Linked DNA regions of Drosophila melanogaster. The protein of the gene in region 1 interacts with the protein of each later gene in a biochemical or structural test. Each region holds a gene or a part of one and is shown in the gene's direction. Other genes may lie near its edges. The genes, in order: His1:CG33825, Taf1 and Chro.

The links.
Region 2: of the proteins of His1:CG33825 (region 1) and Taf1, one has a biochemical effect on the other in vitro, tested with the Drosophila melanogaster proteins (one study listed by BioGRID).
Region 3: the proteins of His1:CG33825 (region 1) and Chro interact in far-western blotting, tested with the Drosophila melanogaster proteins (one study listed by BioGRID).

The regions. Positions count from the first base shown.
Region 1 is NT_033779.5:21,469,241-21,472,782, forward strand, and holds His1:CG33825 (histone H1), read left to right. Parts: upstream 1-2,018; 5' UTR 2,019-2,177; coding exon 2,178-2,948; 3' UTR 2,949-3,041; downstream 3,042-3,542. Other genes in the region: His4:CG33895 (histone H4), read right to left, coding at 1-72; His3:CG33824 (histone H3), read left to right, coding at 367-777; His2B:CG33894 (histone H2B), read right to left, coding at 3,355-3,542. UniProt on the Drosophila melanogaster protein: Histones H1 are necessary for the condensation of nucleosome chains into higher-order structures.
Region 2 is NT_033777.3:6,644,829-6,649,948, forward strand, and holds the start of Taf1 (TBP-associated factor 1), read left to right. Parts: upstream 1-2,060; 5' UTR 2,061-2,161; coding exon 2,162-2,343; intron 2,344-2,465; coding exon 2,466-2,773; intron 2,774-2,836; coding exon 2,837-3,100; intron 3,101-3,154; coding exon 3,155-3,366; intron 3,367-3,431; coding exon 3,432-4,057; intron 4,058-4,116; coding exon 4,117-4,497; intron 4,498-4,552; coding exon 4,553-5,120. UniProt on the Drosophila melanogaster protein: TFIID is a multimeric protein complex that plays a central role in mediating promoter responses to various activators and repressors. Largest component and core scaffold of the complex.
Region 3 is NT_037436.4:22,873,109-22,881,004, reverse strand, and holds Chro (chromator), read left to right. Parts: upstream 1-2,020; 5' UTR 2,021-2,371; intron 2,372-2,779; exon of another isoform or gene 2,780-2,986; 5' UTR 2,987-3,010; coding exon 3,011-3,068; intron 3,069-3,129; coding exon 3,130-3,555; intron 3,556-3,616; coding exon 3,617-4,548; intron 4,549-4,614; coding exon 4,615-5,881; intron 5,882-6,305; coding exon 6,306-6,403; 3' UTR 6,404-7,303; downstream 7,304-7,896. Other genes in the region: Ssl1 (suppressor of stem-loop mutation), read right to left, coding at 218-1,127, 1,180-1,521, 1,575-1,639; CG11109 (uncharacterized protein), read right to left, coding at 7,317-7,896.

The DNA.
Region 1 (3,542 bases):
ACGCAGTACTTTGCGATGACGCTTGGCGCCACCCTTTCCCAAGCCTTTGCCTCCTTTACCACGACCAGTCATTTTTCACTGTTCTATACTATTATACACGCACAGCACGAAAGTCACTAAAGAACTAATTTCAACGTTTCTGTGTGCCCCTATTTATAGGTAAAACGACAAAAACCCGAGAGAGTACGAACGATATGTTCGTTCGCTTTTCGCTCGTCAAATGAAATGGCCTCTGTTTTTCTCTCTCTCTCTCTCTCTTTCACCGTCCAGGATTGCTATATAAGTAGGTAGCAAATGCTCTGATCGTTTATTGTGTTTTCAAACGTGAAGTAGTGAACGTGAACTTTAGTGAAACCCAAATCGGAGATGGCTCGTACCAAGCAAACTGCTCGCAAATCGACTGGTGGAAAGGCGCCACGCAAACAACTGGCTACTAAGGCCGCTCGCAAGAGTGCTCCAGCCACCGGAGGTGTGAAGAAGCCCCACCGCTATCGCCCTGGAACCGTGGCCTTGCGTGAAATTCGTCGCTACCAAAAGAGCACCGAGCTTCTAATCCGCAAGCTGCCTTTCCAGCGTCTGGTGCGTGAAATCGCTCAAGACTTTAAGACGGACTTGCGATTCCAGAGCTCGGCGGTTATGGCTCTGCAGGAAGCTAGCGAAGCCTACCTGGTTGGTCTCTTCGAAGATACCAACTTGTGTGCCATTCATGCCAAGCGTGTCACCATAATGCCCAAAGACATCCAGTTAGCGCGACGCATTCGCGGCGAGCGTGCTTAAGCTGACACGGCATTAACTTGCAGATAAAGCGCTAGCGTACTCTATAATCGGTCCTTTTCAGGACCACAAACCAGATTCAATGAGATAAAATTTTCTGTGGCCGACTATTTATAACTTAAAAAAATAAGAACAAAATTCATATTCTATTATTTATGGCGCAAACGGTACTGGGTCTTAAATCATATGTAAAAATACTAATTCTGCCAGAGAAGGAATAAAAATAATCTTATTTTAATTGTCAGCTCAACATTTATTAAATTAAAGAAGAGGTTAATACAAAAATATATATTTTTATTTGTTCTTTGTGCGAACATCCTTTAAAGCAGTGAAAGTGTCGTGCGGGGCAAGGGACTCTGAACCTTAAACATCTAAAAAAAAAATCTGAATTCTGTGTAAGACAGTTTGAAATTAATGAAATTACATTGATGACGGCAATATTTATAAAATAACAGAAAATAATAAAATAAAACTAGCTATTTTATATTTTTTCCATGTGTTAACTGAAGAATGTGTTATTATTGAAGAGGTCGTACGGGACAATTGACACTGTCCCTTCAAACGTCTGTAAAAAATAAAACCTATGTAAAATTCAGCACGGAAATTGGTTAATTTTGTTGCGGAATGTAATATATATTACATAATAAAGGATAATACAAAAATTGTTTCTTTTTATTTTTTATTTGATTTATTTATTTGACTACATAGACGGTAATGCATATGTGGCGAGGAAATCGATTGATTTCAGAACAAATTATTTTAAAATATGCATGAAAACACATTAATAACAAGCAAACACATTAATAATTTAAGAAAATATTATTTATTATATTAATATTATGTTATTTAAGAAAGTATCTGTATTTTTAACGATCGAAAATTATTTCTGAATGCTGCTTTAAAGCAAATTTTTCTGTAGTTCAATGTGAACTTAAATCAAGTGATAAAGTATCTTAATTAATAATAGACGCTTCTTTCAGAAGCCCTTTCTAGGGGATGAACGTTTCAATTTTAATAAACATTACGAATTAGTGAAATATTTGCGATGATTCTTATTTTATTAGATGTTTTTTTATAAATTGGTCCAGTTAAAAATTCGAATATAAAAATTCAATCAACATTTGAAAGTCTCAAAACCCATATTACATCCTTTTAAAAATGGAAAGTGACGAAAAAATTATTTAAAATTGTAAAACTATTAAAACCTTATTTTTATTAATGATTTAAAATACTAAAAAATTAAAAAGAGTTTACACTTCAAGCAAACTTCGACATAGTAAATGACTGATGTCAGTAGCATTGTTAAAGTGCTCTCCTCCTCGATTCTCATCAGAGCAAAGGAGGTTGGTAGGCCGAGCGCGAGCCATTTTTAACAGAAAAAAAGTGTTCTCAGTGAAAAAAAGATGTCTGATTCTGCAGTTGCAACGTCCGCTTCCCCAGTGGCTGCCCCACCAGCGACAGTTGAGAAGAAAGTGGTCCAAAAAAAGGCATCTGGATCTGCTGGCACAAAGGCAAAGAAAGCCTCTGCGACGCCGTCACATCCGCCAACTCAGCAAATGGTGGACGCTTCCATTAAAAATTTAAAGGAACGTGGCGGTTCATCACTTCTGGCAATCAAAAAATATATCACTGCCACTTATAAATGCGACGCCCAAAAGTTAGCGCCATTCATCAAGAAGTACTTAAAATCGGCCGTGGTCAATGGAAAGCTTATCCAAACTAAGGGAAAGGGTGCATCTGGATCTTTCAAACTGTCGGCCTCTGCCAAGAAGGAAAAGGATCCGAAGGCAAAGTCGAAGGTTTTGTCTGCTGAGAAAAAAGTTCAAAGCAAGAAGGTAGCCTCTAAGAAGATTGGTGTCTCCTCCAAAAAAACTGCCGTTGGGGCTGCTGACAAAAAGCCCAAAGCTAAGAAGGCTGTGGCTACCAAAAAGACTGCCGAAAATAAGAAAACTGAGAAGGCAAAAGCCAAGGATGCCAAGAAAACTGGAATCATAAAGTCGAAGCCCGCCGCAACAAAGGCGAAAGTGACTGCAGCGAAGCCAAAGGCTGTAGTAGCGAAAGCGTCAAAGGCAAAGCCAGCGGTGTCTGCAAAACCCAAAAAGACGGTGAAGAAAGCATCGGTTTCTGCTACCGCCAAGAAGCCGAAAGCGAAGACTACGGCTGCCAAAAAGTAAATTGTGAAAAAGTGCAGTATTTGGTACATGTTCGCAATTAAAATTTTAGATTTATGTTTTATAGATCTGAAATTTGTTTAAACAAGTCCTTTTCAGGGCTACAACGTTCCGTTGCAAGAGAAAAAAACTTTTATTTTCTTCCACTTATTTATTAGCTGACGTTCGCAGCAACAATAAAACGTTTCATGTCATGAATTACATTGCATGTTGGTCGCATTCAGTTTTCGTTCCCGATTTTTTTGTATTTATTTGAACATTACCCAATTACCCATATTGCGGGTAAATAAGTTTTATTTGTAAATTCATATTCAATGATTGGTGGTTGAAAAATGCATTTCTTTGGTATAACACATTGTGGCCCTGAAAAGGGCCGTTTTGGATTATTGTCCGCATTCGCAGGAGAAAATTATTTAGAGCTGGTGTACTTGGTGACAGCCTTGGTTCCCTCACTGACAGCATGCTTGGCCAACTCTCCAGGCAAAAGCAGGCGAACAGCCGTTTGGATCTCCCGACTGGTGATGGTCGAGCGCTTGTTGTAGTGAGCTAGACGAGACGCTTCGGCAGCAATTCGCTCGAAAATATCATTTACAAAGC
Region 2 (5,120 bases), on another chromosome or scaffold:
ATTTTGATTGAGTATCTTAGCAACTTGGTTAGGCAAAACAGATTTTGGACACGTCGATAAACGCCAAAAATCTAACAAATTCGAAAAAAATATTTTATTTTAGTTTTGCTATCTATCAATGTTCCATCCATATTTTGATTTAGCTGCGTAGTATCTGATAGTCGAGGTAATCGACTAGAATTTGTTTCCTTATTGGACGATAAGAAATTTTGTACCGTAGGCAAGCTAAGTTTACATACCCTCTCAAGTAAAAACATCTCATGTAATTTTACAATATTGTCCGTATGAACGTGTGACCCTCCATGTCCCCCCATGCCCCGCCATGTCCGACCGTGTCCCAATGACGGGACTTGGCTTGGTGCGGGCTGACACGAATCTCGATCTATATGTGGATATTAGTAAACACATGTATGGAATGTCATGGAGTTCTCCTGATAATCGTGTTGGTGACAGGTAACAGCAGTGCGTTATACAGCGAAACAAGAACTATAGATTTCTTTAAGCATGGAGATGGCATATCCAGAGCCATTCCATTAAATATTCCCCCTCTAGGTAGACCTTTCTAAAAGCTATCGCAGGCAGTAACCCTCTAGTCCTCGTCCTACACAAAAACTCGAATATCAAGTGCGACATTCTGAGGGATTGTACTGAAAAACACAAGATTCACTTTGCTTTTCGCAGCCACTTTCTCATCTTAATGATCATATTCTTTCTGCAACAGCGTAAATACTTGCCACCCATCTCCAAGCTTCAAAGTGGCTTAAGTCCTGATCACGGTCGGTATACGTAAATATACGTATATTTATTTTTATTATATCATTCATTCAGCGTGGATAATTAAGTTTCGAAAATTTAATTTGAGGCATTTTATAATGAAGGGAAATTCCAAAAAGACGAAACACAAAAAAATATTCGATTTTTACTAGTCTACCTTTAAATTTTCCCACTTTGTGGTTTTCCATATCTGGGAACAGAAGCCTTGGTAAAGGTAAGTTATAAAACATATAATTAATTTGAGGTACAATGAAGTCGGTCACGGAAAGAGATTAGCAAAAAAATGTACACAATGGCATTGGTTTGTGTCCTAGAGAAATGCTGCCTTGAATTAAAATGATTCTTTAGAGTTTAAGCCATGAAAACGAATTTTCAGCCGGTTTAATCATCAGAAATACATTTTATAACGAAAATCTATTGAAAAACCATAGATTCATTTGATGTAAAAGTTTCAGGATCGGATTCTTGAAGGTGACTAAATTTGTGAGCTCAGCGTACTCTTCCTTTAATCCGTTCAAATAGTTCAAAGCCTGCATATAAAAATCCTACATTCCCATGCAGTTCTTTGGTACAAATATGACAATTTGTGACAGTACAAATCCCAAAGTTGTGGATAGTCTCTTCGAGATTATCATTAAAACGATTCTCAGCTAGAGAAAGCGCAGTTGGTAAAATCGTTTGAGTAAAACCAAGTTAAGAAGAGACTTCTGAAAATAAACATATATATATTTATAATAAAAAATGAATAATAAGAAATATATAAAAATTGATGGTTTAAGTTTTTGCTATCTGAAGTAGTTATGATTGTTTGCTACAGATTTCTGTAAAATCTGAACAACAATAGAGAAATATAGCTCCTTCAACGTTACAAAACCGTAACACAAATGTAGGTCTGAGAACTGTAATTCTAAATTGGCATTGTAGTGCTTATGTATGCCCATTTTTTCTCCAATGAGCGTTGAATAAACTATTTTTGGCTGAATAAAGTTATATTTTGATAGAAGCTGAACAAAAGTGATCGTGTTAATGGTGTTTACAGAAGTTCTATTCAGAAATATATAATTATACAAATGAAATGTACGAATATCAAAGGAATATATATTTTTTAATAAAAATCCACGTATGCCATACATGGTACAAAATTGCCAATTAAAAATATTACAGAGCCCTTTTTGTTGGACACTAACCTTCGGTACAAAACGCAATTGACCTTCCCAAGCTCCCAACCCTTGTCCAAATCTAATCGCGGATTTTCTGGTGCCAGTGGGGAGCCATGAGGCATCTTTGCTTTGTCCATCGACGGTCACACTTACGCGTGTGAAAAATGCAATTACACTCCGTCGAAGAAAATATACTTTAGCCGCGTAAACATTGCAAGCCCATAGAAATGGAGATGGAATCTGACAACAGCGACGATGAGGGATCGATCGGCAATGGATTGGACTTGACCGGCATTCTTTTCGGCAACATCGACTCCGAGGGCAGACTGCTGCAAGATGACGACGGAGAGGGGCGCGGGGGCACCGGTTTCGATGCGGAGCTCCGGGAAAACATTGGTTCCCTTTCCAAGTGAGTACACATGCTTGTACATACATATGTAAACCCGGTATCATTCAAATATATCTTAATTCACAAGATATAAGACACTTTTAATTACATTTCCATTCATATTGCGTATGGATTACTTTCAGATTGGGTCTGGATTCTATGCTGCTCGAGGTTATCGATCTCAAGGAAGCCGAGCCTCCGTCGGATGACGAGGAAGAGGAGGACGCCAGACCGTCAGCCGTCAGTGCCAGCGAAGGAATGAGTGCCTTTGATGCGCTCAAAGCGGGCGTTAAAAGGGAGGATGGCGCCGTAAAGGCTCAGGACGATGCCATTGACTACTCTGACATCACCGAGTTATCCGAGGACTGCCCACGCACTCCGCCCGAAGAAACAAGCACTTATGATGACTTAGAAGACGCCATTCCCGCCTCCAAGGTAGAGGCCAAGTTGAGTAAGTAAGACCGTAATCTACAACGGTTTGATGACATTTAATTTAACCAGTTAACACTGGTAGGAGAGGATATTGCTCAAATTTTTAAAGGTCTATGCAATTCCTGTCAAAGTGACACGATTACTTTTGCACCGCTCAGGTTGGGTTCAGACCTATTGCTATACAGAGAGAATAACTCACATTTTGTTGCAGCTAAGGACGACAAGGAACTAATGCCTCCACCAAGTGCACCAATGCGCTCCGGCTCTGGCGGCGGCATCGAGGAACCGGCCAAGTCAAATGATGCATCTAGTCCCAGTGACGATTCCAAATCTACCGATTCAAAGGGTAAAAATTATTTGAAAACAATAGAATTTTTTTGTCAATGGTCATTCCTTTAAGATGCGGATCGGAAGCTGGACACACCACTGGCAGACATACTGCCGTCCAAGTACCAGAATGTGGATGTGCGTGAGCTCTTTCCGGACTTTCGTCCCCAAAAGGTGCTACGCTTCTCCCGTCTCTTCGGACCCGGTAAACCCACGAGTTTGCCCCAGATCTGGCGACACGTGCGCAAACGCCGCCGCAAGCGAAATCAATCCAGGGATCAGAAGGTAGAAGATCAGAGTACTTTTAAACGGGACGGGATCACCAGGAAACTTTTCGTAAACCATTTCAGACGACAAACACTGGTGGTTCGGACTCTCCAAGCGATACTGAGGAGCCACGAAAGCGGGGCTTCAGTCTGCACTATGCTGCAGAGCCAACGCCAGCGGAGTGCATGTCCGACGACGAGGACAAATTGCTGGGCGACTTCAACAGCGAGGATGTGCGTCCAGAAGGACCGGACAACGGCGAGAACAGCGATCAGAAGCCAAAGGTGGCTGACTGGCGGTTCGGGCCTGCACAGATTTGGTATGATATGCTAGAGGTGCCCGACTCTGGAGAGGGGTTCAACTATGGCTTCAAGACAAAGGCAGCAAGCACCTCGTCTCAGCCGCAACTCAAAGATGAACGCCGTGTAAAGAGTCCAGAAGATGATGTCGAAGATCCAAGCATTGCGGATGATGCCTTTCTCATGGTCTCCCAGCTGCATTGGGAAGACGACGTGGTCTGGGACGGTAACGACATCAAGGCAAAGGTGCTCCAAAAGCTTAACTCAAAGACAAATGCAGCCGGATGGTTGCCCTCGAGCGGGTCGAGAACGGCTGGCGCCTTTAGCCAGCCGGGCAAACCGTCTATGCCCGTGGGAAGTGGAAGCTCCAAGCAGGGTTCGGGAGCATCAAGCAAAAAGGCCCAGCAAAAGTAATTAATTGAAAGTTGAATTCATACGTATTTTACACTAATATTTCAATCGATTTTAGTGCTCAAGCAAAGCCAGCGGAGGCACCTGATGACACCTGGTATAGCCTTTTTCCAGTTGAAAATGAGGAGCTAATATACTACAAGTGGGAGGACGAGGTAATCTGGGATGCCCAGCAAGTGAGCAAGGTGCCCAAGCCGAAGGTACTCACTTTGGATCCCAACGACGAAAACATCATTTTGGGTATTCCTGATGACATAGATCCCTCTAAAATCAATAAGAGCACGGGTCCTCCACCTAAGATCAAGATACCGCATCCTCACGTAAAAAAGTCTAAGATCCTACTTGGCAAGGCGGGTGTGATCAACGTGCTTGCGGAGGACACACCTCCGCCGCCACCCAAAAGTCCTGACCGTGACCCCTTTAACATATCCAATGACACGTAAGTCTCTTAATATAATAATGGATGCAGAATGCAGATTTTAATTCCCTTTCAGTTACTACACACCGAAGACAGAACCCACCCTACGACTTAAGGTGGGCGGTAATCTTATTCAACACTCGACTCCGGTGGTAGAGCTGCGAGCTCCGTTTGTGCCTACGCACATGGGCCCGATGAAGCTCCGCGCCTTCCATCGCCCCCCCCTAAAGAAGTACTCCCACGGGCCAATGGCCCAGTCTATCCCTCATCCTGTCTTCCCACTGCTGAAGACCATCGCAAAGAAGGCGAAGCAGCGCGAAGTGGAGCGCATTGCCTCCGGTGGCGGAGACGTCTTCTTTATGCGCAACCCAGAGGATTTAAGCGGAAGGGACGGAGACATCGTACTAGCCGAGTTCTGCGAAGAGCATCCGCCTCTGATAAACCAGGTGGGCATGTGCTCCAAGATAAAGAACTACTACAAGCGTAAGGCTGAGAAGGACAGTGGGCCGCAGGATTTTGTTTATGGAGAAGTGGCCTTTGCGCACACAAGTCCCTTCCTGGGCATCCTGCATCCTGGCCAGTGCATACAGGCGATTGAGAACAACATGTACCGAGCGCCTATTTATCCACATAAGATGGCTCAC
Region 3 (7,896 bases), on another chromosome or scaffold:
CGGCACAGAGAGCCTATGACCAAGTAATTAGCAATACAATTGAGAGGGTCTCACACAACGGCCATAATAATGCTACGCTCGCCTTCACAATTATTAAGCATAAAACCAGATTTTAATTGATACAACTCATAACCACCGTTTCGAAACGAACTGTATTTTGTTTGCCCCAAATGCGTAGTTATGTGGAAGTTCGAAATATCTATCTATAGAAAGTCAGTTACATCCCACACTGGCCGCGCTGCTTTGAGGGCCCTGGGTGTGCATCAACCTGGTCAGACTTGGAACTTTGCTGGTAAACCAGACCGTCTACGCCGGGAATGGTGTTGCATCCCACGCAGGCGTGCAATGTGTCGTGAATGAAGATGTCGCAGTCAACGCAGAAGAACTGCTTGCAGAAACCGCATCTGAAGACGACTTTATCGGCGACCTTGTCAACGCCTTGCCCAAGAGCTTTGGCGCAGCCGTAACATTCCCTGACATCGCTGGTGAGGTCGGATGACGAAGCAGGCATCGCCTCAAACGGCAGTTCCTCAAAATTTGGCACCGGGAAAAGGTGGTGGTAGGAACGCGCCAAGTGCGGCGCGGAGACCAGGGTGAGGCCGCAAGACTGGCACTCCACGGGCAGCTCGCAGTACTTGCTGTTGCATTGCGGGCAGTGGTGGCCAGTAGTGGTCAGTTCACTGGGCTCCTCCAAGTTCTCTATGTGGCACATGCACATGGACAATGGCGCGTCCTTGCCCTCAACTTCATTCTTTGTGTGCGGGAAGCCCATGCGAATAAGCGAGTTGTGCTGAGTCTTAGCGGCGGGCGGTGGATCTACCTGAGACATGAGTTGATCCCGAAAATGTGCATCATCCAAAACAGCCCCGAAGGTGCCCATTGTTTGCTGAGTGAGGTAGCGGGCCACGTGAATCTCAGCGGACAGGGAAATAACCGAGCAGCGTATGCCCTCCTTTTTTAACTCGTCGATGGTGAGGTTAATATCGACAGGATCACATGTGGTGAGCGAGCCCATGATAATGACGATCTCTCGGGAGGCGTGCGACGGCACCACCTTAAGCGATTTTAGGGCCAGATCTAGGCCATTTTGCAGCGAAGGCTCGCTGGTCAAGGACACGTTAGCCAAGCTAAACAAAAAGGGGATATAAATGGAGAACGCTGGTTTGATTCGGTTCTTACCTCTCTAGCGCTTTGAGGTGCACGCGCGAAGTGCCGGTAAGTTCGGTCACCTTCTCCGCTCGCTTAGCTTTTAGCGCTATGAGTCCTAATTGGCTGATGGGGTTCTGATCGAAGAACTCCTCGATAAACAGCTCCAGCAGCTTGACGGTGCACCGCAGTCGTGTGGGTTTCAAATCAGGCACGCTCATGGACTCAGAGCAATCGAGCACAACGAACATGTGGCGCATCATGCCCAGGCGGTTCTGCTTGGACTTTTGAGCCTGCCTCTGGCGTTTGGCCTTCTGAATGATCTCTGCAATGGCTCCATCCAGCATCCCATCCTCGTCGTCCTTGATGGCCTCCCTAATAGGATTAAAAGTAAGTGCGGGCTTACATTGTCACGCACACCATCGCACCATGTCTTTTCATAGCCCGTTTCCCAGCGGTACTCCTTCTGGTCCTCTTGCTCATCGTCGGCCATACTTGCAGTCCTGATGCACTACCAAGTCAAATCAAGAAAGAAAAGCAATTAACGCTAAATAAAATGCGCCGGCTAATGTAACAGTGTGTACACACAGGGCCTACGTTAAATACAATACACTGGGTGGCAACCCTGGGTAAGTATTTATATCAATAAATATCTACAAAAGAATGACATAATAAAATGAAATAATAAAAAATAATTTCGAATTTCTTACCTAATATGAACAAAAAAAGTACAATATTATTATTATTGCGCCCAAAGTTGCCACATCAATAAATATACCCACCACGACGCGTAATTGGCTAACTAAGTGCACCGCCACACGGGCGAACTGAAAAGGGCGCTACACCCTAAGTTTGGGCACTTAAAACCGTGCAAGCATTGAAACCCGCGTTTTATATCATATACTATATTCGAAAAAACCTTCGAAATCTTAAAATTTACTGGACTGCAGTTAGTTTAAAGCTATCGACAGGCAATACACTCCCAGTAATATTAGGATTTAAATAGCTTAGCACAGAAGAGCATTCTAAGGTCCGCACAGCCGGAACCAAATCATCTCTGGACAATTTCCGTGCAGCCGAATTTCGCTTTTGGCATTCAGAGTTCGCGCGTACAACTGTGAGCAGCAGTGGAGCTGCTCGTGTTGAAAAATCGGGAGTCAGTTAAATTAAAATAACCGTTTGAAACAACATTCAGTTTGATATTTATCCAAAATTGTTTATGAAGGTGTGTACCAAAGTGTTCTAGAGAAATCTTTTAATTTAATGATATGTGGAATAGGCTTATTTGCAATCATACCTGGCCTATATCTAGTGCCTGCAAGGTTTAGCGGGCAAAATGAAATTGTGAACTTTGATATTATTTAAACTATATGTAATCCTTTTTTTTAAATGAAAACAAATAGGATCGAACCATAGGGTTTTATTTATTTTAATTTTTAGCTGTGTTGAAGTTCAAATGCATTTGTAACAGATAAGTTTAAGTAACTAATAAAGTCGCATTACGCATAGTTCGTGCTTTTCTGTGTTTTATTATATTATATATCTACAACAGTGCGGCAGGCTCGTTCTTTTCATAATGTACTTAGTGTTTTTTTTCGGCTGCCTAAGCGCCGCTGCATTTTGCCCATTGCAGATGTACATATGCTTGAACTCACCATATCGGACACACACCGCAGACAGCGACCGTTCGCGTTGCCACCTGGTTCAAGTTAGCACAAACACACCACGGCACTGTACTTTTTCTTCGCCGTTTACCAATATTTCAAAACCAAGCAATAACAAATAATAAGACTCCATTCAGCACTATTTTTAAGTCACACTTTAAATGCTCTCTTCAAAGGCTTGGGCGCTGGAGTCGTGAATAATGTTGGCACAGGAGATTTCACCTACGGAAATCGGCAAACACGCAAACATTATAAGAGGTGAGTGACTAAAAACATTGGTAAATAATTTTTATTGTTAATTTTGTGTTCTGCCCTGCAGCTGCACAGGAGGAATTGGCAAACATGGACGTTCTTGTATGTGGACGATGTCTCCGGGCCTACAACTTCGTGGAAGAGTTTCAGGCCCACAAAGAGGACGCCTGCGAAAAGGAAAATGCAAATTTGAAGGAATCGCTCGATCCCAAGCCCACCATCTGGGCTTTTACGCTATGGAAAGCTACTCAGCTGCACTCGCGCAAGGACGCGTCCGGCAGCTCGTGGGCCTTGTACCAGCATTGGGTAAAACTAGACGATAGCGTCCGCGAGCCGTGGATTGTGGCTGGGAAGACCATACAGTCATTCGGCAAAATTGCACACGGACAACTCCAGGACATGCCTGTGCGAATAACAAAGACTGTGGTCAATCCAAACAATAACAACACATCAAATAGCAACAACAACAACACGAGCGTCTCCCCTACCAGAAGTAATACAAAACATTCTAAATAAAAGTCACACTTGTTATTAAACTATATTTAAATCAACAGAATCACCAACCGGTAAGCTGCCTACGTTAGCCAATCAACTAAAGGATACAGAAAACGAAAGACCCAAGTCCAAGCCGAGTACACCAACGCCTTCCTCAGTTCCCTCTGCCGGAGCCGTGAAGCCGAACAACCGCATAGCCATTAGGATCGATTCCAAGACAGATCAGCGCACCGAAGAGCCAGTGGAAAAGATTGTCGCTAAGCGCTTCAATCCGCGCCGTAAGACCCACGAGTATTTGGTTAAGTGGGTTGATCGCTCGCATCATGAAAACACCTGGGAGGTGATGGCCAATCTCGAGCGTGTGCCATACTTTTTGCAGATGTTCGAAAAGCAATTGGCACGCCAAAAACTTACTAGGGAGAAGGGTCTGGATGCTCTGAAGCGCATGCAGTCATCAGGGACAAACGCAAAGTCAGATACTGCCGCCCCACACAGCCCACTTCCGGCGTCGTCGCAGGTATCGCCGTCTTCTCGGCCATCTCGAACTTCCAAGACCAAGGCTATGGATGCCTTTAAGCAGTGGGTCAATGAAACCGTTGCCGGAGATGGATCCTCCTCGCCTTCCTCGGCAAACGAAGATGAATCCTCCACGGAACAGGAATGGCCACCATCTTCTGGAGCGATCAAGCGAAAGCTGAACAATACAGACTCAAGTTTAGAGGGGAGCGGGTTAAACGACTCGATGGACCTAGAGGACCTTGAAGAGGATCTTCCGTCCCATACCGTGAAGCGTCTAAAAAACGGAGGAAGCTCCGTGCAGTTGAACAAGCCACGGATTCAGTCCACGGAAAAGCAGCAGACTAAAATTAACGGCAATTCCACCGTGGTATCGCCCCTAACGGAACAAAAAATGGGTGAAATCATCTATACTGAGGATAGCACGAGCTCCGGCATGTTTCGCAAGCCCGAGATGCCAAACACAATAAATTTGGTATTACGAAATAATGCTATTTCTACGCAGCAGCCAATTAATAACAATGATCTTAATTCGTTGCAGAAAAAGGAGAAACCAGAGTGTCCCGTGCGGTATCTTTCGCGCTCCGAGGTGGGCAGCAGCACAAGAGGCGTTTTTCGGGTTGAAAATTCCGAGGCACCGGCACCCGTTTCGCCTGCACCCGTTCCGCAAAAAGTGATCGCTGCGCCGCCCGCCGCAGGCATAGCCAAGCGTTTGCCAATGGCTCGTCCTGCGCATTCGGGCGCTAACTCGCCCATCACTGTGGGCCAGCGACAACACGCGCTTCGAACTCCCGGCCACGGCCCTGTAACAGCAGCACTTCATCGCCGTCCTGGAGTGGGTGGTGCATCCCATGTGCGTCAAAACTTGCAGCAGGCGCCCGGCCGGGCTCACCCGGGTGGTCGAGTCCTTGCACGAGCCGGTGTCGGAACTCCGCAACATCGCCAACAAGTACAAACTCCTCAGGGTGCCAAGGCAGTTACGCCAGAGCAAAAGATTTTACAGCTGTCAAAGTCAGGGGACTTGAAAGTTACGCGTAAAGTAGTGACCCGGGAAGAGTTGTTGGCTCAGCGCTCTGCCCAGGCACGCCAGCGACAGGCTCTGTCTCAGCAGCAGTCCAGTCAACAACAGAAAGCGACTCCTGCCCGGCAAAGAATAGTTTCCAAGTCAACAATCCAGCCAACGCCCCTGCAAATGGAATTGGAGGAGGAGATTCATCAGCACCAAGCTCAGTTGTGTCCAATCACCGGCAAGCTTATTGGTCAGGAGGAGACCCAACTGCAAATGGAGCAGGAGCAACAGCAGGAGCAACAACGAGAGCAGCTAGAAGCCGCGGCACAGGCCCTTCTGGGCAGCGATCAACAAGTTCTTACCAACGAGGACGGCTCGGCCTTGCTGGTGCGAGGAGAGGACGGCACTGTTTACCAGGTAGCGGGAAAAAATGCGGAGGGACAAACTATTCTCGTTACGCAGGGCCCGGATGGAGAACAGCAATTTGCGTACGTGGCAGCCGCAGAGGGAGAAGACCAGGATGTTCTTTCTCTGGACCACGCAGTGGCCGAAGCCGTTCAAGCCGGTGAACAGGTCGAGTCTCACGGCGTCGGAGCAGCTACGGCGGACGGTGAACAGATTCTCGTGTCCATGACAGAAGAGGAGTTGGCGCAACACCAGGTGCTTCAACAAGCGGAGGCTTCTGCCGCTGGAACGGGAACGCCACCCACAGCTCAGATCCATATCACGACGTCAGACAGCGATGGCACGGAATCCCAGATACCAGCGGAGGTGGTACAGGCAGATTTGCCTTCACCGGGTAAGTCGTGTTTTTCATAAAAATTTGACAAGGCCAGCTTCTTGTGTTGGCTTTTATATCCGTTACTCGTAGAGTAATAATAAAAGTTCATAACAGGTAGAAGGAAGCTTTTTGAAGATATAAAGTATATATTTTCTATTTATAATCAGGATCAATAAGCGAGCAGATCTAGCGTTGTCTGTCTGTATGAACGTAGAGAACTGAATGATTAAGCAGGGATATATATTCGCAGCGCAAGTGCGTTTGTTTCTCGAGGGGTAGATACTATCAGATGATAGTCGATAGCATTTTCTTGCTTTTCTTCTTGCAGAACTATACATTGGGTAGCTTTTTTATAAATCGGAATTGCATAGAAAATTATAGCAATATTTAGGGGATTATTCTTCAAAAACTAACTACTTGTTCATTTTCTGTTTTTTTTCAGGAGGTACACGTCGCGTTGTTTTGTTGCTTCAGGATGGAACCTTCATGATGACTGAGATGCACGAAGATCAGTTTAAGACGCTCAACATCCCAACGTAAAATCATGTTAATAGTATCCGTACATATAATTAGGCTTAGTTCTTAAGACTATTATATTGAAAGAACCTGACGTTGGTGGGTTCTTCCCATTTCCACTTTTGTTTGGTCCTAGCCAATCCATTCTCTTGGCCATAAGTATGCACCAGCACTGACTGAGAGCCGTGTTTGGCGAGTAGTGAATATTATTCTGGCGAAAGCATACCGGGAACCAGAACGCTAAACGTCTAGCGAAACAATAATGCTGCGCCGGGGAAACAAAAGGCATCGAACGATGAAATAAATTATGCGAATACCTTATTTAAAACATTATTTTATCGTGGGAGTCAAGCAGTTTTACGATAATTATCACTGCAGTCAAGGTGAGAGATTCCGCCAGCGTTAAAAGCCTTCATCGATGTTCTCATCATATTTAGTAATTTCCTCAAGCACAAACAAAACATGCATTTATCGGGGTCCCATCAATGATTGGTAATATTTTTGACTTCCTTTTAACTTACAACTCGTAAAATCATTAAGTAAATCTTTGTCGTAGAAAGTTTTAAAGTTCCCGAAATGCATAATTTTGCTTTTAACAAGAATCGTTAAATAACAATGACGGACTTAGATTTAAGTAAAATTACATTAGTTATGAATTGTAAATTATTTAAGTTCTTTTTAACTCGAAAACAAAAAGATAACATTATGTATCTCCATTAAGATAGCACAAGCAGCTATGGGAGAGCAAAGCCTAAATGTTATCAGACTGCATTTTTCAAATGCTTTTCTAAGCGTAGGGTTGAAATTTTCTTGATCAAATACCACTAGCGTAGGTCTCACTTATATCACTCATAAGCCGGCTTACTTTTGCAAATCAAAACGAATGTTTAAATTATCGAGCCCAATAAACAAAAAATTTCAGTGAAGTTGAATTTATTTATATTTTCTGAAACTTCGCAATAAAAAAGCCCACAGTGTCCGCATTTGCTCCGCTTGGACCGAAGCGCTGCAACAGACGAGATTTACATGCCTCGAAACCGGGAAGCGGAAGTCCGGGACCGCCCCACCGGGGAGTGGCATCTGTTAGCCGCAGCTCGACAAATTTTCTTAGTGCCCAGGCCACAAGACATTCGCACTCATCCTCGGTGACGGTGCACGTGCTATATACAAGGATGCCGCCAGGACGAACGAGCTGCACTGCCTGTTCAAATAGCCGGCGCTGAATATGGGGATATGAGGACAAGACCTTAACCTGTTTAATGCTGCAGGACAACTGTGGCCGGTTGCCCAGCCCACTGCAGGGTGCATCGAGCAAGATTCGGTCAAAGCTTTCACATGGAAACGGAGGCCCAGTGAATTCTCCCACGGGTGCAGATGGAGCGTCCGCTGCCACTGCCTCGGTGGAGTTAAAAACATGCGCCGTTATGCTTTTGTAGTGTCCCAATTTGGGCAGCATGCTGCGGACGCGACTGGCCGAATTGTCTAGGGCCACCACAGATCCCCGATCGCCCATCAAC